Coturnix japonica: one gene and its partners. The protein of the gene in region 1 interacts with the protein of each later gene in a biochemical or structural test. Links are inferred from orthologs where the notes say so. Each region holds a gene or a part of one and is shown on either strand. Other genes may lie near its edges.

What was found.
Region 2: the proteins of PSMD2 (region 1) and UBLCP1 form a complex in vitro, tested with the Homo sapiens proteins (3 studies listed by BioGRID). The link is inferred for Coturnix japonica from reciprocal best matches to the Homo sapiens genes PSMD2 and UBLCP1.
Region 3: the proteins of PSMD2 (region 1) and UBE3C form a complex in vitro, tested with the Homo sapiens proteins (2 studies listed by BioGRID). The link is inferred for Coturnix japonica from reciprocal best matches to the Homo sapiens genes PSMD2 and UBE3C.

Annotation. Positions count from the first base shown.
Region 1 is NC_029524.1:13,902,368-13,912,680, forward strand, and holds PSMD2 (26S proteasome non-ATPase regulatory subunit 2), read left to right. Parts: upstream 1-3,472; 5' UTR 3,473-3,519; coding exon 3,520-3,654; intron 3,655-3,829; coding exon 3,830-3,886; intron 3,887-4,086; coding exon 4,087-4,251; intron 4,252-4,397; coding exon 4,398-4,519; intron 4,520-4,628; coding exon 4,629-4,853; intron 4,854-4,948; coding exon 4,949-5,107; intron 5,108-5,340; coding exon 5,341-5,485; intron 5,486-5,692; coding exon 5,693-5,753; intron 5,754-5,926; coding exon 5,927-6,073; intron 6,074-6,218; coding exon 6,219-6,325; intron 6,326-6,476; coding exon 6,477-6,604; intron 6,605-6,680; coding exon 6,681-6,768; intron 6,769-6,892; coding exon 6,893-7,055; intron 7,056-7,138; coding exon 7,139-7,240; intron 7,241-7,326; coding exon 7,327-7,472; intron 7,473-7,649; coding exon 7,650-7,733; intron 7,734-7,895; coding exon 7,896-8,063; intron 8,064-8,142; coding exon 8,143-8,232; 3' UTR 8,233-8,237; intron 8,238-8,343; 3' UTR 8,344-8,475; and 5 more. Other genes in the region: ECE2 (endothelin-converting enzyme 2), read right to left, coding at 1-51, 136-260, 336-551, 701-845, 1,183-1,269, 2,574-2,615. UniProt on the Homo sapiens protein: Component of the 26S proteasome, a multiprotein complex involved in the ATP-dependent degradation of ubiquitinated proteins.
Region 2 is NC_029528.1:12,394,073-12,404,301, reverse strand, and holds the start of UBLCP1 (ubiquitin-like domain-containing CTD phosphatase 1), read left to right. Parts: upstream 1-5,264; 5' UTR 5,265-5,338; exon of another isoform or gene 5,339-5,531; intron 5,532-7,732; exon of another isoform or gene 7,733-7,735; 5' UTR 7,736-7,772; coding exon 7,773-7,926; intron 7,927-8,346; coding exon 8,347-8,438; intron 8,439-8,808; coding exon 8,809-8,894; intron 8,895-8,985; coding exon 8,986-9,101; intron 9,102-9,780; coding exon 9,781-9,879; intron 9,880-10,229. UniProt on the Homo sapiens protein: Dephosphorylates 26S nuclear proteasomes, thereby decreasing their proteolytic activity. Recruited to the 19S regulatory particle of the 26S proteasome through its interaction with 19S component PSMD2/RPN1.
Region 3 is NC_029517.1:7,677,230-7,686,798, forward strand, and holds part of UBE3C (ubiquitin-protein ligase E3C), read left to right. Parts: intron 1-3,220; coding exon 3,221-3,307; intron 3,308-3,514; coding exon 3,515-3,672; intron 3,673-4,423; coding exon 4,424-4,656; intron 4,657-9,309; coding exon 9,310-9,414; intron 9,415-9,569. UniProt on the Homo sapiens protein: E3 ubiquitin-protein ligase that specifically catalyzes 'Lys-29'- and 'Lys-48'-linked polyubiquitin chains.

The DNA of each region.
Region 1 (10,313 bases):
CTCCATGAAGCTGCTCTGGTTCCAGGTGCCGGTGACATTCCATCCACCGATCTGCCACCAAATGGAACCAGGAGGTGTTTGTCACTCAGTGCTATGGGGGAGGCTCCAGGACTGTCCCCAGAGCTGAGCCCTCACCTTGTCAATGAGTTCCATGAGAGGCTGGGAGCCCAGCTCCTCGATTCTCTGCTCCTTGAGGCAGGACAGGTAGTAGCGCTGCGTCTTCCTCTCCGCCTCACTGCTGGAGTTGAAGCTGGAGTTCTCTGCGGGATACTACAGCTCAGCCCAAACCCCTTCTGCTGGCACCCTCAGACAGCTCCCATCCCCACCGCGCTCACCCAGCAGGTGCTTCATGACAGCCTGGTTGTGCTCCCAGATGCTGTTGAAGGTGCTCCACTTGGAGCGCCCGTTGGGCAGTGGGTTCCTCTTGATCCAGCCCCCACACGAGTACTGGTAGAAGTCCTGGCAGGGGTCAGTGTCCGTGTCCAGGGCTTCCAGGATCTTGCTGGCCACCCGGACACAGGCGTCCGTCAGGCACATGGTATGGGAGGGATCTGCAGGGAAAGGGATGCGGGGAGGGGTGGGGGGGGAGTGGAACTGAGGCACAGAGTGGGGCTGCTACTGGGAGTGGGTACAGCACCCAGCAACCTGCTGTCCCCACGAAGGGCAATGGCATCTCTACCCCAGCATGGCAGTCTCCTACCTCTGCTGTACTGAACGGCCAGAGCCACGATGGTGATGCCGAGCAGAAGGGCCAGCGTGACAGCGACAGTGCAGAGCACCAGCTCCAGCTGGGAGCGCGAGGCCAGGCGGCTCAGCAGTGGCCCCGTCCCCTTCCGAAACCCCACCTGGGCAGGAGGCAGGGGCTGACATCACATCCCCTCCCCAAACTGCTCCCAGGTGCCCTGGCTTGGCTGTGGGGCATGGGGACTAGATGGGGACTAAGCTTGGAAATGGCCACTCTGAAGCCAGTGCATCCCTTGTGGACGAGCCATTTGTGGATGCTGGTGCACCCCCTGTCGAGCTGCAGGGAAGGGGATCACTCTTTGCTGCATTTTGGCTGCCTCCCAGCACATCATCTAATGACAGCCAAGGCTGGCCGGGCTCCCGGCCCCACTCATGCTGCGGGCTGGGGCTGCAGGAAAGGGGTCCTAAGCAAAGCAGGGGAGCTGTGCCGTAGCTCACCTCCACGCTGTCGGGGGAAGCGCTGCCATCCCCTGCCGGCTCCGGCCCCTCGTCCTCCTGCAGCGTGGCATGCTTGTAGTCAGGCATCTGAGGGGGGAAAGCAGGCTGGGGGGGGCTGCACCCCACTGCCCCCTCTGCCTCCTACAGCAGGTGCCTGGGGGGGACAGGGCCTCCTCCAGAAGCCAGCCCCATCCCCGGTTTGCCCTGGGGAGGGCAATGCAGGATGCTGGTGGGAGCCCTTGGGGCCCGAGCATCCCTGCGTGTCACCATGGCAATGGCAGCATCACCCCGCTGACAGGTGCCACATCGCCACGGAGATTCACTCCCCATCTCCTGGCAACCGTTGCTTAGTGCTGCTGCCTCGCCCCTCCCCCCCACCTGGAACTTTCCATGCAGATGTGCACTGGTCTGAAACATCTGGAAGCCCTCTCCCCTTCCTCCCACCCATGCAAGACAGGGTGCAGGGATCCAGGGGGACAAGGGAACCATGGGGGGGGGGCATCGGCTGGTTGCAAAGGACCAGTGATGCTGGTGAGATAGAGACCCTTTTGCACCAGAGCCGGGGGGGCAGCCCCATTGCTTGCACCCTCCCTGCCATGGAGGCTGCAAACAGCTCAGCGAGGAAGGAGGGATGGGGGGATTGAACTGCAGAAAGGAGCAGGGTGCTTCGGTATAGAGTTTCTGGGTATGCACTGTCCTCAGGCTTCAGAGTTAACGCCTGGGTGGGCTGTGGCTCAGCCTCCATCTGCGCATCTCTGCAGTGCTCAGGGGTATGGAGTTGCTGGGGTGTGTGTGGGGGGGAAGGATAAGCGCTCTGCTCCCAGCTCCCCTGCCCATCACTGGGACGCAGGGAGGTTGCAAAGCCGGGGGGGGGTTCCATCACTGTGGGATGGTGGTGTTGGACAGCCTGGTATTCGGGACTGGGGCAGGCTGGGTGCTCCAGTCTGCCGCGGTGCCCCATGTCGCCTCCAGCCGCATCCCTCCTGGCACCCTGAGGTTAAGGCAGGATCCAGCCCATGGGCTCTTCCTGCGCCATCCGTGGGGGAAATGGGCCCCCCAGCCCCGGGACTTGCAGTGGGGCAGCATCCACAAGCTCCAGGTGTGCCCCCTGCTTTGGCACTGCGAGGGGCCGTGGGTTCATCCCGATTTCTCCCATTTCTGCCCCATTTCTCCCAGCGGGGAGGTCCCTTTGCCCCTCTTCCCCTGCTGCCATGCGGAGCCCCCCAGGCCCCCTCAAACCACGGGCTCTCAATCCCTTTTTTCCCCCCGGCTCCTTCTCCCCGCAGCCCCCCGCATCCCTTCCCATCTCCCGCAGCTCTCCAGCCCCAACACTCGGGCTGTCCCCGCGCCCCCCCCTCCTGTCCCCTGCGTCCCTCCCTGCCGACACTCACGGCGTGTCCGAGCTCCTGCAGGGCCACGTTCATCCTGGCCATCCCGCCTAGCTCCGCTCCCCGCCCGGCCCGCTCCGGGCCCCCGCCGCCGCCGCAGCGCCGCCTGCCTCCGCCATGGCCCGGCACCGGCACCGGGAATAGGTCCGGGAGCTGGAGCGGCGCCGGGCAGGGACGGATGGAGCCGCCGCAGTGGGAAGGGACCGGGGGGCTGGGGACCAGCGGGGTGAGGCACCGGCACCGGGGAGCGGGGACGGTTAAAGACCGGCGACCTCAGGGGAGGATGCAGCGGGGGGCACCGCTCCGCCCGGCCCCGCCGCCGAGGTGACCGCGAGGGGCAGCGCCCTCCGCAAGAACGGGCGGAGCCGCAGCACCGGCACCGGCACCGCAACCGGGTGCGGTCACAGCGATGCGCAGCGGGACGGAACCGGGAGCGGAACCGGGGACACGGAGCCCACGCGGTGCCACGCACAGTCACGCACAGACACAGAGTCACGCACACACAGTGTCACGCACAGACACAGCCGCCCACGGCAGCGCTGCCACCCCCGGGGACCAGCGGGCGGGTGCTGTAAGGCGGGCACGGCGCTACGAGACCGGCTGTGCCACGCGTGTCACACTTCCACGCGTGTCACTGCTTTGCGGGTAATTATCCCCCTCCGGGCTCCCCGTCCCCACGTCCCACGTCCCCATCCCGTCCTGACCCCGACACTCCGCTCCCCACGCCCGTGGGTGTCACCGCCCGGCGCCAGGACACGCGGGGAGGGTCCACGAAGCCACGCCCACATCCCGCTAAGCCCCGCCCACAATCAGCTAAGCCACGCCCACATCTCATAAGCCCCGCCCACTCCGACCAGCGGCAACTCCCATCGGGCGCACGGTGATGACGTCACGTAGACTACGGGCCGTGCGCAGGCGCAGAGCGTGGCCGGTGTGCGGCGGAGCGGCCATGGACGCGGGAGGCGGCGGCGGGCAGAGCCGGGTGCAGGGCGGGCCGGGCTCGGGAGGAGACGAGAAAACCCCTCAGCTGTGGGGACGGGACCGACGGGATCCGCCCGCGGGGCCCGAGAAGGAGCAGGAGCTGGTGAGAGTCGGCCGGGGAGCTGAGTCACGGGGCGGGATGGCGTCATCGGGGCTCCCTAGGCCGCGTGACGTCATACGGTGACGTAGTACGGGGGGCTCCGGGGTGGCTGTGTGTTACTAACAGGGACAGCGCTGTCCCCGCGGGTCGCCCCTAACCGTGTGTTCCATCCCGGCAGTCGGAGGAGGACAAACAGCTGCAGGATGAGCTGGAGATGCTGGTGGAGCGTCTGGGGGTGAGTGCGGGCCCCGCAGCCTAGAGAACTGGGGGGGAAATGCCCCGTGTCACAGCCCTGTGGGTGCTCAGAGCTGTGCCCCGTGGGTGCCTGTCTGCTCGCTGTGCCACAGCCCCATAGGGCTGACTTTAGGGTGTGGGGGGCTCTGAGCCCAGAGTCAGCACCTCACACACCTCCTGATGGGCCTCTTCCATGTGCAGGAGAAGGACACGTCTCTCTACCGCCCGGCGCTGGAGGAGCTGCGCAGGCAGATCCGTTCCTCCACCACCTCCATGACCTCTGTCCCCAAACCACTCAAGTTCCTCCGACCACACTATGGCAAGCTGAAGGAGATCTATGAGAACATGGCTGCTGGGGAGAACAAGGTGAGTGCTGCCATCCTGTGTGGGCTGTGACTTGCCACGTCCTTGCTTTGCCCCCTGTGGACACAGTGGGGCACTCAGTCCCATGTGGGTCTTCTGGGGTGCAATCAATCCCATGTGAGTCTGAAGCTCCAGCTCTCTGTCCCCAGCGCTTTGCAGCAGACATAATTTCTGTCCTGGCTATGACCATGAGTGGGGAGCGTGAGTGTCTGAAGTACCGCCTGGTGGGCTCTCAGGAGGAGCTGGCATCGTGGGGGCATGAATATGTCAGGTGAGACTGGCTGGGAACAGGGCTTGGGGTGGATAAGAACAGCTGCCTCACATCCGCGGGGCTGGGTGAGGCTGGTTTCTGTGGTCACGATGTCCCCTTCTCCCTGCAGGCACTTGGCAGGGGAAGTGGCCAAGGAATGGCAGGAGATTGATGAAGCTGACAAGGCACAGAGGGACACACTCCTCACCCTGGTTAAGGAGATTGTCCCTTACAACATGGCTCACAATGCAGAGCACGAGGCTTGTGACCTTCTCATGGAGATCGAGCAGATGGACATGCTGGAGAAATACATTGATGACAACGCCTACTCCAAAGTGTGCCTCTACCTGACCAGGTGAGGGACTGGTGCATCTGTCTGGCCCTTGGTGGGCTAAGGCTGCCCAGTTTCATTGGCTGACACTCATCCTCATATGCATCTCCTCCTCAAAGCTGCGTAAGCTATGTCCCAGAACCTGAGAACTCTGCTCTCCTACGCTGTGCTCTGGGCATTTTCCGCAAGTTCAACCGTTACCCTGAAGCCCTGCGCCTGGCTCTGATGCTCAATGATGTGGAGCTGGTGGAGGACATCTTCACCTCCTGCAAAGATGTGTAAGTAGAGACAGTCCCTGGGCTCGGGGGGGCGAGTACAGCTGAGTAGGATCCTGACATTGTCAGATGTGGCTGGGGGCTTGGCCAGATACTGGTGTCCCCAAAATAAAGATGAGCAGGAGCCAGTCATCTCTGGGCTGTTCTTGTATGCTGCTTGAGCAGGGTGGGCTGAGGTATGTGACTGCTGTTTGGCTATGGGGGCTGGATGCTTTCAAAGCCTCTTCCCTCTGCAGAGTTGTCCAGAAGCAGATGGCCTTTATGCTGGGCCGCCATGGGGTCTTCCTGGAGCTGAATGAGGACGTGGAGGAGTACGAGGACCTGACTGAGATCATGTCCAACGTCCAGCTCAACAGCAATTTCTTGGCCTTGGCTAGAGAGGTGAGCACTGTGCTGGAGAAAGATCTCTGGGCTGCTCCAGGCTGGGATCTGCCCTGGCCACCAGGCTTTGTGCTCTGTGGCAAGACCTGGGGAGAGCTCTCTTATCCCTATGAGCCTGGCCAGGTCCTGCTGGCAAGGCTGTCTTTGTAGAACAGCTGCTGTGGTGCGTCTGTGGGGAAATAACCCTCTTTTCCCTTGTCTCTGCAGCTGGACATCATGGAGCCCAAAGTACCAGATGATATTTACAAAACCCACTTGGAAAATAACCGTAAGAGCTCATGTTTTGACCTTGTCTGTCTCTGGATAGAGCAGACCCCATTGCTTCTGGTGGGCTTTGTCTGCTCCTTCCCTGTGGCTGGGGATGGGGCCTCACCCACTGTCTGGCGTGGGACAACTGTGCAGTGGAGTGTTGGCCTGCCTCACTCTGATCTTGTTCCCCAGGGTTTGGGGGCAGTGGTTCCCAAGTGGACTCAGCCCGGATGAATTTGGCATCCTCCTTCGTGAACGGCTTTGTAAATGCTGCATTCGGCCAAGACAAGCTGCTGACAGATGATGGCAATAAATGGTTGTACAAGAACAAAGACCACGGTGAGGGTTGGAGGTGGCTGTGGGCTTGGGGTTGTGACCCTTTGTGGGCCCTGCTGAAAGTGTGGCAGTTGGGTACAGCCCTGCTGTGTCCAGGCTGGTCACACTGACTTGGGCTTTTCTCCCTGGGAACCTGGGAACTCAACAGGAATGTTGAGTGCTGCAGCTTCATTGGGCACTATACTGCTGTGGGACGTGGATGGGGGCCTCACACAGATTGACAAGTACCTCTATTCCTCAGAGGATTACATTAAGGTGAGTGGCACTGATCTCAGCCCCATACTCACTTGGTACCAACCAGCCTGTCCTGGGGAGCAAGTGTAACCTGTGGGGTGACATGAGTCACTGGCTGGCAGGGAGCTCCATGTGGTGGTGGCTAGTGCATAATGGTGCCTCTGTTTCATAGTCGGGTGCCCTGCTGGCCTGTGGCATCGTCAACTCAGGAGTGAGGAATGAATGCGACCCTGCCCTGGCCCTGCTATCTGACTATGTCCTCCACAACAGCAACACCATGCGGATCGGAGCCATTTTTGGGTAAGGGTCTGCCCTGGCGTCCTTGGCTGTGTGGGATGGTGCAGCCATCCCTGACATTCCTCTCTGTTCTCCATAGGCTGGGGCTGGCCTACGCGGGCTCCAACCGCGAGGATGTCCTGACTTTGCTGCTGCCAGTGATGGGGGACTCTAAGTCCAGCATGGAGGTAGGGAGCAGAGCAGGGTGTGCTGCACGAGTCCCTGACAGCTCCTGGGGATGCTGGGGCTGGTTTGGGCTCTGCATGTCCTTGTGTGATGTGCTGTGCCCTAAGAACATGGCTCCCTCCCCAGGTGGCTGGTGTGACGGCCCTGGCTTGTGGCATGATATCTGTGGGCTCTTGCAATGGGGATGTCACCTCCACCATCCTCCAAACCATCATGGAGAAATCAGAGACGGAGCTGAAGGACACCTATGCCCGGTGGCTGCCGCTTGGCCTGGGCTTGAACCACTTGGGTAAGAAAGGGCAGCACTGGTGGTCCTGTGAGCTGGGACTGTGAGCATCTCTTGGGTGCCCTGAACTCTGTGCCTCTTCACAGGCAAGGGAGAAGCCATCGAGGCGATCCTGGCAGCGCTGGAGGTGGTGTCGGAGCCGTTCCGCAGCTTTGCCAACACATTGGTAGACATCTGTGCCTATGCTGGTGCGTTGAGCTGACCAAGGCTGAGGGAGGTGGGAGTGGGACCAGGCCTTCCTTCTGCTCATCCTTACCCACTGCTGACCTCACAGGTTCAGGGAATGTCCTGAAGGTACAGCAGCTTCTGCACATCTGCAGTGAGCACTTTGACTCCAAGGAGAAAGAGGAAGACAAAGACAAGAAGGACAAAAAGGAGAAAGAGAAGAAAGAAAACTCAGCTGACATGGGAGCACACCAGGTAGGAAAACCTGGGCTGGAACCTGCGGCCCAGGCCCAGTAGCTGCCCTGTCTGGAGTCAGACCCAGAGGAAGTGGCCCCAGCAGGATCCTCTGCTCTCGCTGTCCAGCTGGGCTGTAAGAGATTGCATTTGCAGTTGGTGGTCTCTGCCTGGCATTCAGTACTGGTGTCTCTGCAGGGTGTAGCAGTGTTGGGCATTGCACTTATTGCCATGGGTGAGGAGATTGGTGCAGAGATGGCCCTGCGCACGTTTGGTCACCTGGTGAGTGGCAGCTGGGGGACAATGTGGGGCTGGGAAGGGACCTGGATGAAGAGGGCAGATCTTCTCTCACATCTTGGCCTTGGTAAGCTGGGTTGTGGATGCCCCACCGTGCCCTTGCCCCTACCTGGGTTTTAATATCTTCTCTCTCTCTGTTCCATGCAGCTGCGGTATGGGGAGCCCACCCTGCGCCGTGCTGTGCCCCTGGCCCTGGCGCTAATCTCTGTTCTAACCCCCGTCTCAACATCCTGGACACCCTCAGCAAGTTCTCCCACGATGCTGACCCTGAAGTCTCCTACAACTCTATCTTTGCCATGGGCATGGTGGGCAGTGGTAAGCCTGGGTGGCAGCTTGTGTGTTATGGTGGGCAGCCATGGGACCAGGCCGGTGCCTCAATCCCTGCCTTCTCCAGGTACCAACAACGCCCGGCTGGCTGCAATGCTGCGGCAGCTCGCCCAGTACCACGCCAAGGACCCCAACAACCTCTTCATGGTGCGGTTAGCCCAGGTGATGATCCCACACTTGTGGTTGGGAAGAGATGGGGGTGGCTGTGGATGGGGGGGCCACCACGTGTTGCCCCACTTGTGCTCACGTGCTTTCTGTGCCACACCAGGGCCTGACCCACTTGGGTAAGGGGACGCTCACCCTGTGCCCCTACGCAACAGCGCATAGGGCAGCTCATGAGCCACGGTGGCTGTAGGCTGACTGTTGACCGTCCTCGTGTCCTTCCTGGATGTGCGCAACAGTGAGTAACGTGTCATAGAGTGTTTCATCCATCCCCTCCTTCCCACACTCACACTCTCCCTTTCATCCCCTTTCAGTTATCCTGGGCAAGTCCCACTATGTCCTGTACGGGCTGGTTGCGGCCATGCGAGGCCGCCGTATGTTGGTCAACTTTCGATGAGGAGCTGCGTCCTCTGCCTGTATCGGTTCGGGTTGGACAGGTGAGGAGCTGGAGCCTGATATGGGTGGCTGGGGGGGGTTATATCCCATAACTCCTCATCTCAGCATGCTTGCTCCTGCAGGCTGTGGATGTGGTGGGCCAAGCGGGCAAACCCAAAACCATCACCGGCTTCCAGACCCACACCACCCCTGTGCTGCTGGCACACGGCGAGGCGGGGCAGAGCTGGCCACCGAGGAGCACGTGCCCGTCAACCCCCATCTTGGAGGGCTTCGTTTTTTCCCCCATCCTGCGGCAAGAACCGCAATACTACGACTGTTGAGGGGGGCTGGGGGCTGAGTGGTTGGGGGGGGGGGGGAGAATGACTGGGGGTTTTTTTGGGGGGGGGGGGGTTGTTTTTATTTGTTACTGGGAGATGAGGAAATAAAGTCTGCGTGGATCGGTGCTGCTGTGCTGCCCTTCAGTTCTGAGCCTGTCCGTCGGGCAGCACCCAGCGCACCGTGCAGCTCCGAGGGTCGCGCTGTGTGTCCGTGCCCCCGCCGGTCCCTCCATTCACGTGACACGGGCGGGGGGCGGCGCTCGGTCTCGGTGCCGCCCGGTCGGTGTCCCCTCCCCCGCTGGTTGTGCCCCTCCCCCCGTGGTTGCGCTGCGCGCTGGCTCCGGAAATGGTCGTGCTGCGCTGCGCTGCGGCTGCGTCGGGCCGCGCGCGCTGAAGGAGACTGAAGGTAACGGGCGGGGGCGGGGCGGGAGCGCGCCGCGGGGGGGGGGGGGGGGGGGGGGGGGGGGGGGCACCGGCACCGGGACCGAGTGCGGCGGGGTGAACCGAACCGCGGCGTGGAACCGCCGGGCATCGCCGCGCCGCCGGGCCCCGCCGCTACCGCTACAAGCGCCGCCGCTACCACGTGGGCGCCGCCGGTCTGCACGCCGTTATCCGCGCTAAGCGCCGTCTCTCGGCCCCTCGTTCCGGTGTAGCCGGCCCGAGCGCCCGTTCCTTCCCCACGTGCCGCCGCCGTGCACGTGCTCCGCCGCCGGGCCCCGCCGCTCCGCCGCACGTGGCGCGCCCCAGCGCCCCGCCCGGGCCCGGTGTGAGGCCGCGGGGCCATGGCGGCGGGCGGCGGTGACACGTGTCCTTGGCACAGGCCGCGCCGCCGCGGGGGGGAGCGAAGCGCCGGGTGCCGCCCTGGGCCCCGCGCCGTGTCCCGCTCCGCTCCTTCCTCATCCCGGGGCCGCCAAGATGGAGCCGGCCCCTCCGGCCTAACACCCCCCCCCTACACACACACACACACACACACACACACACACACACACACACACACACACACACACATACACACCTCCCCTCCGCCCCGGGGTGAGTCACCGCCGCCCCGCTCTGCCCCGCTCTGCCCCCCGCCCGCAGCCGGTCGGGCCGGTCCGGGGCCGCGTCAGGCGGTGCTGGGGCCCGGCAGACGCCGCGGCGGCTCGACCCGGCCCGGGGGAACGGCCCCGTCATCGCCCCGCGGCGGGGGAGGAAGGACGGCACGGCGGGACGCGGGCGGCCGCACGGACACGGCGGGGGGGGAAGGCTGGAGGTGTCCGAGCCCGGTAGGCGGCACGGAACGGGCTCCGCGGGGCCTGAGCCGCCCTGTGAGCCGCGGGGCCCGGATCCCTTCGGGCGGCGCTTCGGGCCTGTAGGGCCGGGC
Region 2 (10,229 bases), on another chromosome or scaffold:
TGGGCGCCCGGCGGCGGCAGAGCGGCTCCTGCACGCACCATGGCGGCGCCGAGCCGCCTCAGGGCGCTGACGGCCCGCGGTCCCACGCACGGGCGGCCATGGCCCCGCTGCCTGCGTGCGCGCCGCCCCGCAACGCGCATGCGCCCGGCCCGCAGCTCCGCCTCACGACAGAGCGGGGTCGGTGCGTCTGTTAGGGCTCTAAATAGAGGTTGTGGGGCGGACCTTAATGGTCGGCATCACCTACATCACTGGGCAACCTGTGTCAGTGCCTCACCACCCTCACTGTTAAAGCTCTATCCAACCTAAATCTGTGAGCTTGAAACCATCTCCCCTTGTTCTATCACCACAGACCTTGCTGATAGAAGTCTGTCATACTGAAAGGCCGCTATCATCACCTCAGAGCCTGCTCTGCTCCAGCCTGAAGTGCTGCAGCTCTCAGCCCATCTTAGAAGAGCTGTTCCATCCTGTGGATCATTCTGTGCCAGCAGTGTGCCCTTGTAGCCAAAAAAGCCAACACTGGGGTGCATTAAAAAGAGCGTGTCCAGCAGGTCGAAGGAGGTGATCCTCCCCCTCTATTCTGCCCTGGTGAGGCCTCATCTGGAATATTGTGTCCAGTTCTGGGCTCCCCAGTACAAAAAAGACAGGGATCTCTTGAAAAGAGTCCAGCGGAGGGCCACAAAGATGGTGAAGGGCCTGGAGCATCTCCCCTATGAGGAGAGACTTAGGGAACTGGGTCTGTTTAGCCTTGAGAAAAGAAGGCTGAGAGGGGATTTGATCCAGGTTTATAAATACCTGAGGTGTGGGAGCCATAGTGGTGAGGCTGGTCTCTTTTCAGTAGTGCATGGGGACAGGACTAGGGGTAATGGGATGAAACATCAGCATAGGAAGTTCTGCATGAATGAGGGTGATGGAGCACTGCAACAGGCTGCCCAGGGAGGTGGTGGATTCTCCTTCTCTGGAGATATTTAAGACCCACCTGGACGCCGAGCTGTGTGACGTGGTGTAGGGAGCCTGCTTTGGCAGGGGGGTTGGACTTGATGATCTCAAGAGGTCCCTTCCATCCCCTACAATTCTGTGATTCTGTGTGTGATTCTGTGACCCTTCTCTGGATGCACTAACATCTGCTCACATAAAGGCTGCATGGCCAGGCCCCAGCACGCCCCAAAAAGTGGTAATGAAGAGCTGTAGAGCTTTTGACCTTCATACCTGAAAAGAAATCACAAAGCCGCACTGTCTCAGACATGAGAAACTTTGCTGTGGTGAGGAATGAGGGAATAAGGTGAACTGGAAAATCCTGTCATTCGCGAGGGCTGGGCGAGCCAACTCAGTAATTGCTTTTTTCCTTCCACCTCTAATGAGAACCCAAGCATTCATCAACATGTATTAAAAGAGCTCAGCCTCAACACATTTCACTCCATGAAAAATAGATACTAATATAAGGGTGTTATGTCCACATCATGCTTTGCAATATGAGCCCTCTCTGCATACAAAGGGGCCTGCTATACGCTCTGATGGGTCTATCTGGTGTTACTATTACACCTGACTTCCCTCCAGTTTGTCAGCCCAGACATCAGCAGAAAGGAGACCAAACATGCTATTACTCACTAATACTTGTTGGTACCACCACACCACATCTTATCACAAGGAGTACAAACCACCAGCTGTCATACAAGGCGTAAGAATCTCAGCTTCTATGGAGCACTTGTATTCTCCTGCTGTACATGGTGGGGGGGAAAAGAGTCACTTCTGTTCTTTGTGGTTTCGATTCAGAGCTGAATGAAGTCAGGGGCAATAGTGCAAGATCTGTCTCGTCAAGTACCACAACCTTCTGCTTTAAAACTCTCAGGACTTTTAAAGCCTTTTCCACATTTGACACTGAGTGATAACAATAATTAATTCCATGACTGTTTGTCTCTCATTATGAGCAGAAGCATTTGGATTACAAACTTGTACCAAACAGCAGCTGAGGGACTAAAGAGGACCACTTTGGTGACACCTCATTAAAGCTTTCAAAAGACATTCTCAGGGCTCAGATGATTTGGCAATTTGATTTGTCCATGTGGATGGACAACCGCCAGCACCTCAAACTGCTTACAAAGAAAAACCCTCATAAGAATTCTCTAAAGCAGCAAAATACGCTGACACGGCAGGACGCTGCACGCCTATGGGAGACAATAAAACAGGCAGTTTTATTTGAAGCTTCTTTCACAGTGAATTGTTTCATGAAATATTCATGCATATACATGTGAAAGCAGTAGGTCGCGCTGTGAGATGTAGTCACACAACGATTACATACGAAAATTAAGATTGGCTGTGAAACCTGATTTTGTGCCTTGTATGTACAACCTTAACACATCAATGGAAGCCATACATAGCAAATGTATCTGCCTGATTCAGCAGGTCTCACTCCTTAACCCCATCTCAGAACTTCTTTTCATTGTCTATAACCCTGTTTCCTAAATCTCTCCCCATCTCTCAGCTTCATATTGACTCTTATTTTTTCCTGTCATTCTCTCAGCTTTCCACAGCTTTCTAGCAATTTATCTTGTCCCAGTATCACAGTTTCATCTTTATTTCACTCTCTTCAGGAAACCACTTCTGCAGTATCTCTCATAATTACATCTCATATGATTACATACATTTTTACCACTTTAACAGCCCTGAGGAGTGCTGACTCCCAACAAATACACAGCTGCTGCGATTTACAACTTACCTAAGGGAAAGCCATACCAATGTCTGTGTTGAGAAGCTGGAGAGATGAGAGGTGATGTAAGGAAAATGATGAATCAGTTTTTGTTCGGGGAATAAAAGAATCACAGTTCTCTCCCCAGATCCCTTGCCAGTGGGGCTTGATTTAGAATACAAAGAATTTAAGTAAATAAAATAAAAATAATTAGGCTGAATAGTGGGAGAAGAATAATGGTCACATTCAGCAATCAGAGCAGCACATATTAGATGGGTACAAACCTCTAGTATTTATAACATCTCACAGTGCCAACACTATGTAAATAATTTGGAAAAAACTCATGTGAGGAAGCTGTACAAATATTGGTCCAACTTCCACCTTATTGATAATGAAGCCAAGACAGAGACTCACTGTATTAGTGATAACTTGAAAATGTGTTTCATTTCAAACCAGAGACGTTTCTATGTCTCCAGCTGAGCTGCCAGCTACTGAAGCACATTGCGTTATTGAACACTGCAAAGTTTCACTGTTTTGCCCACAGTCACACACTGATTCAGAATCAGAGCTTGCATTCATACATTGCTGTTCCTGGGGCACAGTGATGGCAGTGTCCAGTAAACCACGCTGTCTGTTGTATTACATTTAAGAGGTTAGGACAGCATTTGTGCACAAATCTGCCTTAGGCTGGAAACACTTGGACAGTGTAGACTTGAAGAGATGGACATTCTCACATGTCATTGCTGTTACTGCCTGCTTAGAACAAGTTTCTTTAGTTTCACCCTAGAGCATCCCAGGCATAGGGTATATCGGGATGCCACAGAGCGGACATTTGCTTTAAGATTTCCTCACTGCTTTTTCCTCTTCCTTGCCCTGCTAGAATTTACCACAGTGTAAACCCAAAGAGTACCACCCCAAAACAAACTTTTCTGTACAAAGATGCTGCTGTTTGGGCTCTGAGTTGCAATTATATGGTCTTAGTGAAACTCCTTTAACACTATGCACTTATTAATGTTAGGATTTAGCACCACCGTGTGTTCTTACAGCTGAGTTTAAGGACATATTTTTCTGTGCCACATGAACACCAGAATCAGAGCATTTTTCAGCAGTGTTGAGCACAAAGTAGTCCTAGTCATGGCTCAGGACACTAAAACACCATCATCATACCCAAAATGAAATATCATTTAGAAACATTGAATAGTTTTTTCAAACCAAAACCAAACAGGAAAACAATTAATGCCTCTTCTCCACAAGAGAGTTTTATCAAGGCCAATTAGGAAGTTATTAGAATGTATCAAAAAGATTGTAAGTAAAGAGCTGGTCACATTATAGTCTCATTTCTGTAGCCTGAGTTTGTTTAAAAAGGCCTCCAGGGTGCATAGTTTTATGACAGGGTGTGACTTTAATTACTACTTGTAACTTTGGAAGCTTTCCAGCACTACTGTACCATGCTGCCTCAGAGCACGATAGTTGTAGAGGGGAACTAGCATGAAAAGCCCTTCATGACTAGAATATATACACACTAACTGGTTCAACAGGGATTTGAGTGCAGTCAGAAGCTACACCTGACACGAACAGTCAGTGAAGTAACCTCCCATTTGCATCGCTTTTCTGGAAACCAGAGCACTTTTTATGCTCAAATCTGAATATAGAACAAAACTTAAAATCTGTATCCAAGCAGGAAACGCATAAAATTAATTCCCGGTCAGAAGAAAAAAAGACTGTGGAAAACCAGCCTTCTGTGCAGCTTTTTCTTATATTGCACCTTGCTCAGGTCTGCAACACAATGTGAGGGACAGTTCTTGCAGCGCTGTGCTCAGCTCTCCTTTCTTCTTCCATTTCCTATCACTGAACAAAAAAGGAGAAGGTCATTACTGAGCAAGAACTAAGACTAAAGGACCGACACATCCACTATTCCTCCCCTGCAGATTTAATTCTGACCACAGCTGCAGTCAATATCCTTCCCACCTGGTTTTACATCACACTTCAGCACTGATAGTTTTCTTTCCTTTAAACGATTTCTAAGGAGCAGAACATCTAAATGCAAAAGCTCATCTTTGCACAAACTAAGTTTTCCTTCTACACTCGTTATCAATGTCACAAAGCAACTACAGCTGAGCATCCCAGCAGCCCCCAACACGGCACCACTGATTCAAGGGATACAAAACCATACTCTGCCATGTAGCTTAGAAGCTACAAAGGACTTCAGGGCATCAATAAACCTCCTGTGAAGGTTATTAATGAAAGAGAGCAGCTGATGGCAGCGAACTGGTGGCTGTGGGCCGTGCCAGCCCACTCGCTCGGTGCCACCCGTGGATTTTACCTCAAAAATAAAATTAAATCAAATAATGAATTCCTATCAGAGCAGAGCAGGAAAATAACTCTGCAGCAGCAGTGATAACTCTGACTCTGACACATCTCAGCGTCTCCTGGCACACACAGACCACTACGGAACTACGGCTGGTACCGGCCCGGCCCGCCTGGATGCAGGGTCCCGGTTGGGCCTACACCGACAGTCCGCAGCCAACACGATCTAAAACACCCCGCTCCACCGAACCGGAACCAGCTCACATCCGCCATCCCTCCGCTTCCGGCGCGCTCCACTTCCGCTACCGGTGCGGCGGATCGCGGGTCGGTGCCGGTTCCGTTGCCAGGGTGAGGGGCCGCATCGCGCTGCCGCGGGTGGGGCTGGGGCTTCTGTATAACGGCTCTGCGGCCTCTATCGCCGTGAGGGGCCGGACCTGAAGGCTCCGTGCGCGGTAGCACCGGGCATTGCCGTGCTGGGGGTGCGAGGGGTGAGCGCGTCTCTCCTGGCCCCGCAACGTCCGCGGCACAGCGGGGCCTGCAGCCGCGAGGCCTCTGCGCTCCCCGTGTCACCGCCGGGACCGGCCTCAGCCGGGGATCCACGGCCGTTCTGAGCGCTCCGTCCCCGTTCCGTGCCGCTGCTCATCCCGCGGGTTGGGTTTGTCGTGCTCACGTTTTACGTTGCGGGGTGGAATACCCAGAAACATGGAGGTGTATCTCCCTCCCAGATCCAAGAACCACGCTTTATCTGCCCCAGTGCCCTTTTAACTTTAGGCTCTTGGTGGCCCTCGGGGCTCTGACAATGTCATCCATCTGACAATGACTAGAACAAACTTGGTTTCACTATCTTTCACTATCCCTTCTATACAACCCAGTCCATAGGAACTGAAAATCCCTGTGACTTTCTCTTTGGTCCTCATCTGTTCATTGAGTCACAGAATGGCTTGGGCTGGAAGAGACCTGAAAGATCATCTAGTTCCATCTCCCTGCCTGGAAACACTGATTCTATTGTCCACACCCAGTTCCATCAGTGTTTTGCACTGAATAAAGGTCATTCTGTTTGTTGTTTCTGATAACCTTCATCCTGAGATAACTGTACTTCTGCAAGGACTGGCAGCTGATGAGTGCTCTGCTTTATAGGGATCCTTTCAGTTTGAGGCCTGAGAAGTTTCCTTACTGCTTTTACTCAGTGCATTTGCTTGCAGAATGACTTCAGGCATGTGGTACAGTTGAGAAAGCAGGCCACAAACTCGTCTTTCTAAGCATAGAAATCTTGGTCTGAGGTTTATGGGCAGAGGTTATTTGTGATGAGCTAACACTGCTGATATGCAGCCTTAACCTCAGTTGATTCTCTTAATACTTCTAAGGCCATCTTTCACAGAATAATACTAATTCACAGGATAATACTATTCCCCGTCCAATTTGGGGATATTTGGAGATATTTTAAAATATAATAAAAATTGATTGTTCTAAAATGTATTCAGTTTGTTTTCAGGGATCTTAGAGGAGATAGTGAGGAAGAATGTTTTTTATTGTGCACAGCAGGCAGGTTGTATCTGATCCTCCATTTCTTATCTGATTTGAGCTTGGTGGGTATGTCTGAATAATTATTCAATTGTTCTTAACAAAGGATATTGTATAGGCAGGAATTACTTTGGATGAGAGCAGGTAACTGCTGAGAGCGATGCTGGAGAGGATGAGGAGTCAGACTTTTGAGTTCTGGCTTTTATTGGAATTGCCAGACCTGGATTGCCTGGTACAGTGCAATGCCTGGTACAGTTGAAGGTGGACACCCTCAGGTTTGGTTTTACTTTGTTTCTATGGCTCTTCTCCCTTTACTTTTTGGTCATCAATCTTTTAAGTGCGTTCTCACCATTAGTTGTGCAGAGGCCTTCTCTGGTTCTCTGACAGTTTGAAATGGCCTTTTCATACCCATTCCTTGATTCTCTGCTTCCAAACTTTGGCGGAAGAAAACATGTCTTTCCTTTCCCAGAAAGCTAGAAATCTTGCTTCTGTCTTTAGTGTGGGAATAAACCGTTGAATATAATTCACATAAATGATCTGGCGTAAATTAAAGGTAGTAATTACGATTATTTTGTCAGCACTGCAATGAAAGTGCAGTTCTTACAGTGTAATTGTACCGTGTAGGTGTGTATTTTGGCTTTGTTTTCAAACTGCTTTGATATTGCTACAGTGAGACGTGACCTGAGGTGTATTACTGCAGCTACTGCACAGATCTCAGTGAAAGTGAGTAGGGAAAGTGTTCGATCCACTTGAACTGTTGGTTCAGAACTGTTTTGGTTGGGTTTTTTTTGTGTATTTTAGGACTTGCTTACTTTCTGTTTAATAGCCACGTATGTTATGAGTGGTTTGATTGTGAAATTATTGCAGAGGACATTGAAATGACTTCTCTGATGCTGCAGTGCTCTGCTTGAATGCTGGCTGTGCTGCAAAAAGCTGTACCTGCACTGAACACACAGCAAGCGAGCATGTGCTACAGCAGACAGTGAGTGTGACACTGCTAAGTACATCAAAGTGGAACTCAAAGCCACAGCTGTAGTGCTGTTCTTTCTCCCTTAGTTTCACTATTGTATTAACATTTATCACCTGTGCATGCAAAACAAGCAGCTCACTGATGTACAACATCACAAAAATGTAAAAACAGACTATAATGTTTGTCTTCTGAAAAAAGAAATAACTACTCCTATTTCTTGCTTACATGATCATTGCATTTTTCTCCTCCAGCAGATTTTTCAGGAAATAACACTGAACATATGCTTCAAGGATGTCTCTCTCTCTCATAATAAAATGGGGAGGACAGGAGTATACGATAACCTCGCTATCAGAAGAGGACACTGTGTTGGATCTGAAGCAATCTCTTAAAGGCCTTACTGGAGTGTTACCAGAGCGCCAAAAATTACTTGGACTTAAGATGAAGGGTAATTATTTGTATTTATTATTTGTGAGATATTTAAGGAAGAGCATCCTCTTAGCTTAGTTAAGATGTGTGTATTAACAGAGCATCTACCTCCTAGATCTTGCTTTTGAATGAGCGCACACAGAGGGATCTGATACATCACTATGTAGTTCATTACTGATACATCTAAAGGGTCATTTTTAATGGCTGATGTGCAGCAGGTGTACCTTAAACATTTTTAATTCTTGTTAGTCAGACAAGTAGCATGTCTGTGATGGAGGATGACAATGCAGCTTGGAGTATTCTTGTGTTTTATGGGTAGCTAATTTCAGTTAAGCATGAAATATACTGACAGTTTACTAAAATCTCTCAGTTTGAAAAGAAAAATAAATGAACAAAAATGAACAATAAAAAAGCAAACAGAACTCTTATTGCTTTATAGGGAAACCTGCGGAGGATGATGTTAAGCTTGGAGCACTCAAGTTAAAACCAAATACTAAAATCATGATGATGGGCACTCGTGAAGAGAGTTTGGTAAATATTTTACTTGCTTATTAGCTTTAGAAGAGGGGGGAAAGGAAGATTGTATGTCTCCTCATTATGATTTTAAATCACTGCAAAATTAGTACTGCAGTAGATTTCTGGTATTTATGTAAACTTTTCTGTAAAACTTGAATAGCATTAAAGTCCCTTGTTTTGGGCTTAAAGTACAAACTTACAACTGTGATATCCCCACTGACTTCTGAAACCAAATCATCACTGTACTTGAGCATTTTTTTCTACTCGTGAAGTAAAATCACCTTTGTTAATTTTCATTTTTTGACTGTAATGTACAGTAACTGGGTCTGAATATGCACTGCTTTCTTTTAGTAATCCCAGTTATCTTTTATTATTATTCCACTAGGAAGATGTTCTTGGGCCGCCTCCTGATAACGATGATGTCATCAATGACTTTGATATTGAAGAGGAAGTTGTGGAAGTAGAAAACAGGTTAGGAATTCGAGCTATTAAAAACCTGTCCTGTTATGGAACGTGTTGTATGCATTTTAATTAACTGTAACTTTTTGTACTCTTATATTAGGGAAGAAAATCTACTAAAAATTTCTCGCAGAGTTAAAGAATACAAAGTGGAAATTCTGAATCCTCCCAGGGAAGGAAAGAAGCTGCTGGTGCTAGACGTTGATTATACACTATTTGGTGAGACTTTATGCAACTTGTGGGGTTGGTTTAAGAGAGCGATTTATTTGCCAGTTCCTTAGGTTCGATTTACAAATATACTTCAGTTATTTTGGCTTGTGTTGTACTACGTAACTTCTGTTTTGTAACAATTTGAGGTCCTCTGCTCATATTTTAAGAAGCATTGGCATTTGTAGATGTTGTATATTATTGATTTTGGTGCAGCAACTACTTATTTTCTCCAAGACGATGCAAAAAGTAGTTTAGGATTTTATCCAATGAACTCTTCTATTGACCAATGTGTATCTTGGACATGATGATGGCAGGATAAGACACTGTTGTAAAATAATGATCTCTGTATGTTCACAAGATCAACTGGACTAAGTTTGCAAGAATCTCTGGTCAGTATCTGGGCTGTTAGAATTAACAGATAAATTAATGGGTGTGACTCTTTAGTCTCATTAAAGATATTCAGACACACAGCTAAGCACGCAAATTCCTTTAAGGATCAACAGATAAATATCCCTTCTTCTTTGCACCTTTAAAGTAGAAATGGTGCCTTATTCTAAGTTCCTTCATAATTTCAGATTTCTCCATGTGCTTCTCAAGCAAAACATTTCAAGTCCCTGGGTGAACAGGACAGTCATACCTAACATCCGACACTCTATAATAAATTTCTGCCTTCTTGTATTCCTTTTAGACCACAGATCTTGCGCTGAAACTGGAGTAGAACTGATGAGGCCGTACCTTCATGAGTTCCTGACATCTGCATATGAGGATTATGATATTGTAATTTGGTGTAAGTTTATGTACTCAGTGCTAAGACTTCATTATAAACTATCATTTGGAGCAGACTCCAGCTGGGAGGCTTTTATATCACTTTTTATGTGAATTACAAGATGTAAAGCAGTACATGAACGATCAGCTGTGATGTATTCACCTGGAATATTGCTGTTATGAATGGATCTAATAACAGTATAAAGCTCAATATCCGTTTACTGAATGTTACTTTGTACAAACAAACAAATGCTTAAAATAAAACAGTTATAAAACCAGCATTCAAACACTGCTGGGTATCTTAGCTCTGCAAATAATTTCAGTCTAGACAATAAGCCATAGCAATAAAAAACTGGAAACAGACCAAACTCA
Region 3 (9,569 bases), on another chromosome or scaffold:
CACAGGGGCATCTTGTCTTTTTATTGTTCATTTTCATATCAATACCTTTGACTTTGAATGCAAAGCTTTGTGCTTAAGAGCAGGAAAGGTGGGGGGTGGTACCTGCTGGCGTTCCTTCAGCAATCAGTAATACTTCCTTTTAACAGACTGATGAACTCGGTCTTATATATTTAGTTTGTACTTTTGTATTTATTTTCTGGTAACTGTGAGAGTGTTAGAATTGAAGAGTTTTTCTGTTTTGTATTTAGTAAGTATTTTATATTGACAAAATAAGCTGTATGATAACATCTTCTACCTACCGTATATGGTGTATTTAACTTGATTTTCAGGAAAGGGAATCACAAAAGTTGAATACATCCAATGTTTCTGGAATTGGGCCATAAAATGTGGCAGCCGCTACACTTGGCTGCCTGGATTGCCAATACAGAATAAAAATGGGTAAAACCGAGACAAAGGTTATTATAATAAGCTCTTAAGGTTTGTCCTTTTTTCCCTTAATTATTGCTGAATGTTGCTAGAATGAAAAAATGAATTCCATTATTACGGGTTCAGTGTCCATAATGTTTGTTCATTTCTGCTAAACCTATTAGATAATTTCCAGGGATGATTGTCAAATTAACAAGTTTGTACTTGGAAGCCCTCTGAGACTTCATGGCACGGTGCCAAATTACTTTTTCTTTCCATAGGAGGCTGAAAACTGAAGGTCAGTAAAGAGGTTTCTCATCTTAGCAACCAAGATGTCTGAGCTCTCGTTCAGATATTTAAACATTAAAATATATATCCCTATATTTCTGAATTATCTTGATATAAAAACCTCTTCCTTACATATTCTGTAACTTCTACCCAATTGTCCTAATGTGAATCTAGAAGAAAATAAAATTAGCACCTATCAAATTCAGGTTAATTTAATAATAATAATAAGAAAAAATCTGCATACTTGGAATAGAGGATAATTTTACAGTTAAAGCGTACATTTAACTAACTTTAGCTCCAGTAGTTTGACTTACCCCAGGCACCTGTACAGGCTGGGAGGAGTAGTCCTTGAGAGCAGCTCGGCAGAGAAGGACCTGGGGGTCCTGATGGACGAAAGACTCAACATGAGCCAGCAGTGCGCTCTGGCAGTCTGGAAAGCAAATGGGATCCTGGGCTCCATCAGGAGAGGGGTGGTCAGCAGGGATAGGGAGGTGATTGTCCCTCTCTACTCGGCTCTGGTGAGGCCCCATCTGTTGTACTGTGTCCAGGTGTGGAGCCCTCAGTACAAAAAAGACATGGAGATTTTGGAAAGGGTCCAGAGGAGGGACAGGAAGATGATCAGGGGGCTGGAGCACCTCCCCTATGAGGACAGGCTGAGGGAGTTGGGTTTGTTCAGCCTGGAGAAGAGAAGGTTGCGGGGTGACCTCATTGCAGCCTTTCAATACCTGAAGGGAACTTACTCCCAGGAGGGGAGTAAACTCTTGGAAAGGGCTGACAATAGCAGGACACGGGGAAATGGTTTTAAGTTAAAAGAGGGAAGATTTAGGTTGGATGTTAGGGGGAAGTGCTTCACTAGGAGAGTGGTTAGGCCCTGGAACAGGCTGCCCAGAGAGGTTGTGGATGCCCCGTCCTTGGAGGTGTTCAAGGCCAGGTTGGACGGGGCCCTGGGCAACCTGATGTAGTAAATGTGTATGTTTGGTGGCCCTGCCAGGCAGGGGGGTTGGAACTACATGATCCTTGAGGTCCCTTCCAACCCGGGTCATTCTGTGATTCTGTGACTCAAGTTCAGTAGTGTTCATCATCACAGAACTTTCATGATGTGTGGCTTCCAATTCCTTTTATAATATTGCATATATTACAAGGATTTAAAATCTGCACTTCTTCTAACAAAGGGGATGTTACATCAGCAAAAAATGCCTTGCAAACTTTCTTCCTTGTCTTTCATTTCTCCTTCTTTGTGCTCCTGTTCTGTGCCAGACTCGCAGGCCCTTTGTGGGTCCACCCACCCTTGGCTGGGTGCATGGCAGGTGAGAGCCTGAAAAAGAGGCTGGGGGCATGAGAGAGGCTGTGCTGTAGAGAAGGCAGCAATAAAAAAGCCCATGGAGCTTAAGCAGCCAGTAAGCTAGGACCCAGTGGCATATGATATTGCGCAGTATTTGTGTGTGGGTATGCTAGGGATTTTGTTTTCCTGTCTTGAAATGAATTGTTGCTTAGAAGCTTTTCAAATGTTCTGAAGTGTTTACTGAATATTTTACTTTTTTTTTTCCTTGATTAAATGTGTGCCTCCTTTTACCTTCTGGCAAATTTTAATTTATCCACGTGCTCTGTAATAAATACTAGCTTCTCAGACAGCCCTTCTTGTCTGTTTTCCCTGCTGCATTTCCCAGCTTCCTACCTCCTGTGTGTATATTTGGTTATGAGAAATTTCAATGCTCTGAGACTGTCGATGTCTAAGAGACAATGTCTAAGAATGTCTATGTTTCCGTCTTTAGCCTGATAGTGGTTGGGATACCTTGGAGAGTAGCTAGCTGAGTATAGTTCTTCAATATCAGTCAAATGATAGCTTAGTCAGTCAAGTCCAGATTTGGTTCTTTTTACTTCTAGAATATGCGATTTGTTTGTTCCCAGTCTTTTTTTTCCTGTGGAGGAAAGGAGTAGGCTACTTTTAGTATCAAGATGCTCTTTATTTTTCACTTCTATAGAAAGTTTATCAACTCAAATCATGTCTGTATTGACATTGTAAAGTCAGTCCTGTATGTAGCTGATTCGTGGGCATTCTTATTTTTCCATGAGTATAACTACTGTTGCTACTGGTATCAATTTTAAGGCATTAGAATCTACTTGCGGTGAAAAAAATTCTTTCTTTATTAGTGTCAGATGAATCACAGAAGTGACCTCTCTATGAGTTAATGTGATTCATTACATTAAATTCTAAACATTCTCAGAAAAATAACAAGTTGTATTTATTTAATGCTTGTTTAATTTTGTGGTATACTGCAAATTTGGGTCTGTATCACATGGTTGTTGCTGAGTTAATGGAAGTGTATTAGATGCAAGGATTTATGTGCTTCTTCTAAAACTTTGGAGCTTTTACAAGATATGATTGGAATAAAAACCCCATCTTGAAAAAGCACACCTGAATTGTTTATGTTTGAGGAATGCTTGACAGTAAAGTTCTGTACGAAGCATTGTGTTTTGTAAATATGCTGTACTGGCAGACATGATTTATTTGAACTTCCTCTTACAGGCTTCTTTACAGTTTAGCCTTTAATGCCAGATTCCTGAGGCATCTTTGGTATTTGATATCTTCAATGACTACACGAATGATTACAGGGTATGTATTACTCTATCTCTGAATCTGAGTTTTGTTTTTTTTTTTTAAGAATACTATATATATATATATATATATATACACACATATACATATATATATATATATATATATATATGCTATTTAATATTTTTACTGGAATGCTTAAGTTAATGTATTTTTTCATGTGTTTAATTAACAATGTCTTAATTTTGAATATTGTGTTTTCAGGTCTATGGTGCCACTTCTTCAAGTAATTTCAAGAGGTTCTCCAATGTCTTTAGAAGACTCTAGTCGAATTATCCCTCTCTTCTACCTATTTAGTTCTTTGTTTAGTCATTCGCTTATTTCTATTCACGATAATGAATTCTTCGGCGATCCTATAGAAGGTGAGAGTTTGAAGCATACTTGATAACAGTGCTTTACAAAACAGGTTTGTGTAAGGCTACTTAAAATGTTGAACTGTCAGACTTTGAGGACTAAATCCATGCAATTCAGTTGCTTCTGGGCAATCCTTTGTTAAGAAACAGGAATATTAACCACCTTCTACTTTTCTTAAAAGAATGGAAATTCACTACATGCTTCTAATATGACAATTCTAGAACAAATGTCCTGCTGCCATATCAATTGGCTGAGAACTGCTCAGCGTCTGCAATTTACAGCTTGAGGATTCCCTGGGCAATGATTTGCTGACATCTGTGGGGAAGGTTTTGCTGGGTTGAATTGCTGCTGGTCCCTTGAGCAATCAGCTGTCATGTGGTTCTTTCATGATGATTGCATTTGGGGGGGGTGAAAAAAAAGATGGTCTGCACCATGGGAACCATAGTTTTACAGGGTCTATTATGCAAGTTTTTAATCATGGTAATTTGCAGTGAACTGGTGAAGAGAATGAAGATCTGGACTGAATCTATTGACTAATTCAAACTTTTAACATAGTTGCTGGAGAAAATAAGATAATACTGTAATTGTGTCTGTAAACAATTATGAGGTCATTGCTTTTTATAAAGATATTCTCTTTTTGCGTGATGTTTTTGATTGATAGCAGATTGTGTGTGAATACTAAGGTTCCAATGAAATCAGTGCTTTTTTAATAGCAAAAAAGAAAACATTGAAAGAAACTTCAACTTCTGTTTTTTTTAGTTGTAGGTCAAAGACAATCATCAATGATGCCTTTTACACTAGAAGAGCTTGTAATATTATCACGCTGCCTTCGAGATGCGTGCTTAGGAATCATAAAGTTGGCTTATCCAGAAACAAAACCAGAGGTTCGCGAGGAATATATTGCAGCATTTAGAAGTGTTGGAGTAGCAAAAAATACAGAGATGCAGCAGTGTATACAGACTGAACAAAAAAGGTGGATTCAGTTATTCAAGGTAAGTCATGTCAGTTTTCTGAGTAGCTTAAAATAACATTTTCAGACTTAGGCTGAATAAATGAGACTGGATGCGTTTTATTTTTGCTAGGTTTTTTTTTTTTTTTAGCACTTTTCAGGAATATGGACTCAAAAAGATTGATTTTTGGACTAGATGCTGAACTTTAAGTAATAAAATTCCGATAACTGTATTTTTCACAAGTCTTTGTTTAACTTTCAAAGAAAACATAGGTACTGCATAGAATAGACATTTTGACTTGAAATCCTGCTCAGCAGGATGCTTAGTATGTGATTACAGCATGACGTGGGCATGCAGTTCTAATGGGATCATGTGGTGACTTGGGTACTTCAGTATTGGAGGCTTCATTAAATTGCTACTAGGCTTCACCACTGGTTTGTTGGTGTTTTACCAGGACGTGATGTTGGTACTCCTTTTGGGCTTGCTGAAATACTACTGAGATGGTGAATTTGGCTTAACAAATCTAAACTTAATGTACATCATTTCTGGCTATCTACCAATATATTTCTGTTAGTTTTATCCATGGCATTCTAAGACATAAAAGAAGCTGAAAATGTTGGCAGGGAAAAAACCTAATTTAACTGTTGCTGAAAAATGGAGTGCTTGACTTGTCACGAAAATTCTGCAGCAAACATATCTAGTCAGCTAAAATTGCTCATTAAAGAAGTGGGAGCAGAAGAAATGCATTTTCCAAATTGAATGGTAGATTTACAGTCCGTTTAATACTGGTGACCTCTCGCACACTAATGTTCAGTTCGAGTCATCAGCTGTCCCTTCAGGTCTTTTATCACTGCTTTTGTCAAGCTATCTATTTAATTGAAAGAAGTTAATTGAATGAAAATGATCAACTAAGCTTGTATTAATATTGCTAATGGAACTTTCTTCTTGGCCATGTTTGGAGAAAGATGTCATGCTAGACTTTAGGAAAGGCCCATTAAGACTTGCACTTAACCTGATGGGCTAATTAAGGAATGCTTATTCATTCTACAAGTCTAAGATAGCCTCTATCCAGCCTATTCTGTCTGATTTTACAACACATTTCACTTATGAGCATAAGCATTAATAGCAGTGAGAGTAACTGATAATGTTTTGATTGCATTGAATACAGTCCTAATGCACCGCTGAATCTGTAATTTGCACTGATTGATCTAATATATGTTTGCACGATTTAATTTAATTACTTGTCTTTAAATTGCCAAATAAACTTTCAATTTAAAGGTCACAAGTGAAAACCCCAGTATGTCTATTTCTCTAACAAGAGCAGCGTATTAGGAGCGTTTCTCTGTTAGCAGTTTATTATGTGTCATCTTCTGTTTGTTCTTCTTCCTTTGTCTTATTTACTCGTTTGTTAGCATCTTAAATTTCCAGTGAATTTGATCATACTGTGCTTCCATGCTGCAAGTTGTTAAATTCCAAGTTACTCTTCCTCACTTTTGCAGGCAGGATTCAACTTGTATCAACTTGGTCTGCTGCTTATACTTCCAGGAGCCAGAGTTGTCTTCCGTTAATTGATACATCTGTGTAAATCTTAGGGGCATCTTGAAAACTGGTTTTACCCATAATATAGCAAGTAACAAAGCTTAGCTTGCATATTCCTCCAGAAATGTATTGCATATAAAAGCTCAATACAACTAAGTTTGCTCCATTGAGAAGCACAAAATCTTTCCTGAGGGCAGTTTCCAAGTAGGTTCTCATTGGTAAGCAGGCAGCAGTATCTTCTTCCAAGAAAAACCATCTTAAAACAAAGCTGAAGCAGTTTATAAATTTAAGGTGTTGAAGTAGAAATTACTTTTATTTATGCTGTGTCATATATGAGAGACTTGTCCATTCTGAAGCTTTTGCAAGGTGTCTACAGACAAAGGCATATTGCTTCCCTATTATCCATTGCTTCCCTAGCATTCCTTTTAATTTCTCACACAAGTTTTCCATGTCACTGATTGATGTCTGATATGGAGTGCATACCAGCAGCAAGGCAGTGGTAAACCTGAAAACAGTGACTGCTGACAGTACTTTTTGGCTGGCAAATTGCAAGTTCTTGGAAGGGTAGGATTTACGTATGAAAATGTCTTTATTAATTAGTACCACCTTTTTTTTTTTGGCTTGGTGTAATCTGCCTTGTAGTCAGCTGCTACAAATTCTGCAGAAGAACTTAATTTCAAAGAATTAATTCAAAGCAGTCTGTGTTATTCCTTAATGAAACTTGTTTTCATGTACTCAGAACTTAAGGAACTCCAGTCTCAGCTAGTCTGATTCAGCTTCCTTTAGGGTCTTTTTATAACAGCTTTTAAAAGCACTTTATTAGCATGGTCTTCACATGGAAAAAAAATTTCTGCCTTTTTTTTTCCCTTGAGTATAGTGGTAATGGGACCACAGAGCTTCAGTGACTCATCTCACCTGCATTGAATTTTATAAGGGCAAGGTGATGAAAATTCCTGTGTAATCAGACAGTTCCCTTAATAGCATTCTTTTGTTCTTTTATTCAACAGGAGCTGGATCTTAAAAGGTCTTTTGTATAGCATCTAGACACAGATTCCTTTAGAAGGCCCATTAAACTCGGTGTCACTCTTTGACACCTGCCTATTAACGCTGTCTTTTAGGAAGATTACTTCAGGAAAGCTGTGTGTTTTTCTTCCTTTCTCAAATGCTCTAGTTCTAAGTTTCAAAACAGGTGCATGTTTATCACAGCAGCGGTAACTTCTTTGAGGCTACTAAGTTAAAATCGTATTGATTCCACTTAATTTTATGTAACATTGGTTGAAGTTGATTCTGTCTTGCACATACCTTGTACCTACTTTAGGGAGAAGACATACATGAAAGTATGCCAGTGCTTTTGATGGAGTAGGTGTTACCTTGATGCTTTTCCTTCTGTTCTGGACTGGAGGAAACTGACAAGAAAAATAGAATTGCAGACTCACTCCTATGATCGTGACAGACATTTTTCCCACAATTTTCTGTTGTTTTCTCATTTTCGGGCTGTGTAGTTATGACAAATTTACCTTTCATCGTTTGAGCTCCTTGTGAATTAGAAAGCGAACTGAACATAATGGTTTAAACTAATGCGTCATGCCTTGTGGTTGAGTGGCACAGGGTTGTAACAACATCATGCACTGTAGTTCAGCTGATAAGCAGAAATCTGTTAGGCCACTTTACCACATGGCTTCCAGGAAAACGCTTATACGTTTTGCTGGGCTTACTGACTTAACACATTGAAGGGCTTTTACTTAACATGTCTTAGTATGTAAATAACATTATAATATACTACATACATATATATCAAATAGAAATTGCAACCCACCATGCTGTGCATGTATTTTCAAGACTGTAGGTCCTCCTTAGGCTTCTTGTCCTGACCACTAGAATAATATTGGCAATGATTCCTTTTTTGCAAAGCTGTCCATTTGTAGTCTGCTGTAGGCTGGGCCCTTCTCAGGAACACGTTTGCTTTATGAATCTGTTAAATTGAGTCTATTAAGAATCTTAGAGTTTAGCTAAAAATAGATAGAAATAACTGAGCTAGTCATACTAGGAGCTGTTCTAACAGGGTCTTTGAGGGTATGGTTTATTTGGTAAGTGATAGATACTTTAAGATAACTTTTTTTTTTTTTTTCCTACCTAGCTCTGACGACAATAAAAGGAGCCCACAGTCTCTTTGAGATGTAGAGCTTTTAAAAATACCAGCATTTGTTTTTCCATATGGATAATCACTTCAGTGAGGTGATATAATTGGCAGATGCTTATGACTTCTCTGAGGCACCTTTAGCAGAAAAGGAGTTAGTGCAGCAACTAGAACTAGTTACATCTTTCATTTACTTTTGGTGCCTGTTTAGTGCTTTTGCCTTCTCCTTCTGTACTTTTTTGAAACTGATGTTGGCTTCTGTAGAGTTTGACCATTAAGGAGCATATCATGTGATCTTCTGCTAGCTTGTTAAATAAGTTCATCAATTGTAGGCAGACATACCCGCTGTAATTGATTGATACCTAAGAATTATGTAGTGTGGTATAGTATGTGACCTGTGTTATCTTAAGATGGAAAGCAAAAGTTCCAATCTTCTGTAGATCATTTTCATTGAAAAATGATGCATGGAAGTTTGAGAGACTTCTTTCCTGTTGACAGAGAGAGAATTTAGCCATCTGCCAGGTTGTTCAAAATCTTGGATTTGGGCTGCCGTATAATAAAGAGCTGGCATATATCTGTCTCTTCTTAAACATGCATCTATTTGTATGCTTAAGTTTTTAAAAGCCTATATAAGTAAGTGGGGGAAAAAATGTATAAAACAGAGTTAAATGACTCAGTTAAGTATTATTTCTGTTAAGAAGTAATTCAGTGTTAGTAATGATTTGATTATGCTTTGCTGAACCAGCATTTCACTTCATAGGTGTGAAATCCTAGGGATTACTAAGTCCTAGCTCTTAAAATTTGAAATGAGTCTTTAATAAGCTAGGTTTTTTGGATTACATACTAGTGAACCACAGTTACTCATGTGCTAAGTTAAAGTGTAAAAGCAGGGTTTAGTAATGCATGAAATCAGTACTTACTCTAACTTACTTTTTTTCCCTCAAGTTTTAGCTTGTAATTTCTAGAATTTCATTCACAGTACTAAGCATATATTGAATGTATGTATTTCTGACACCTAGGTCATCACAAACTTGGTGAAAATGCTGAAAGCAAGAGATACAAGGAGAAATTTCTGTCCACCAAATCACTGGCTCTCAGAGCAAGAAAACATTAAAGCAGATAAGGTAAGTGTAATTATATTCCTTCTCACAGAGCATTACTGATGATGAAGCTTAATTTTTTATTCCTAACAGTACCAGCAATGTTGATATTTTGCAGTTTTAACGTTGGTTAAAATGTGTAGTAACACTGCTTATCTCTGTAGTATAGAAGTCTTGCA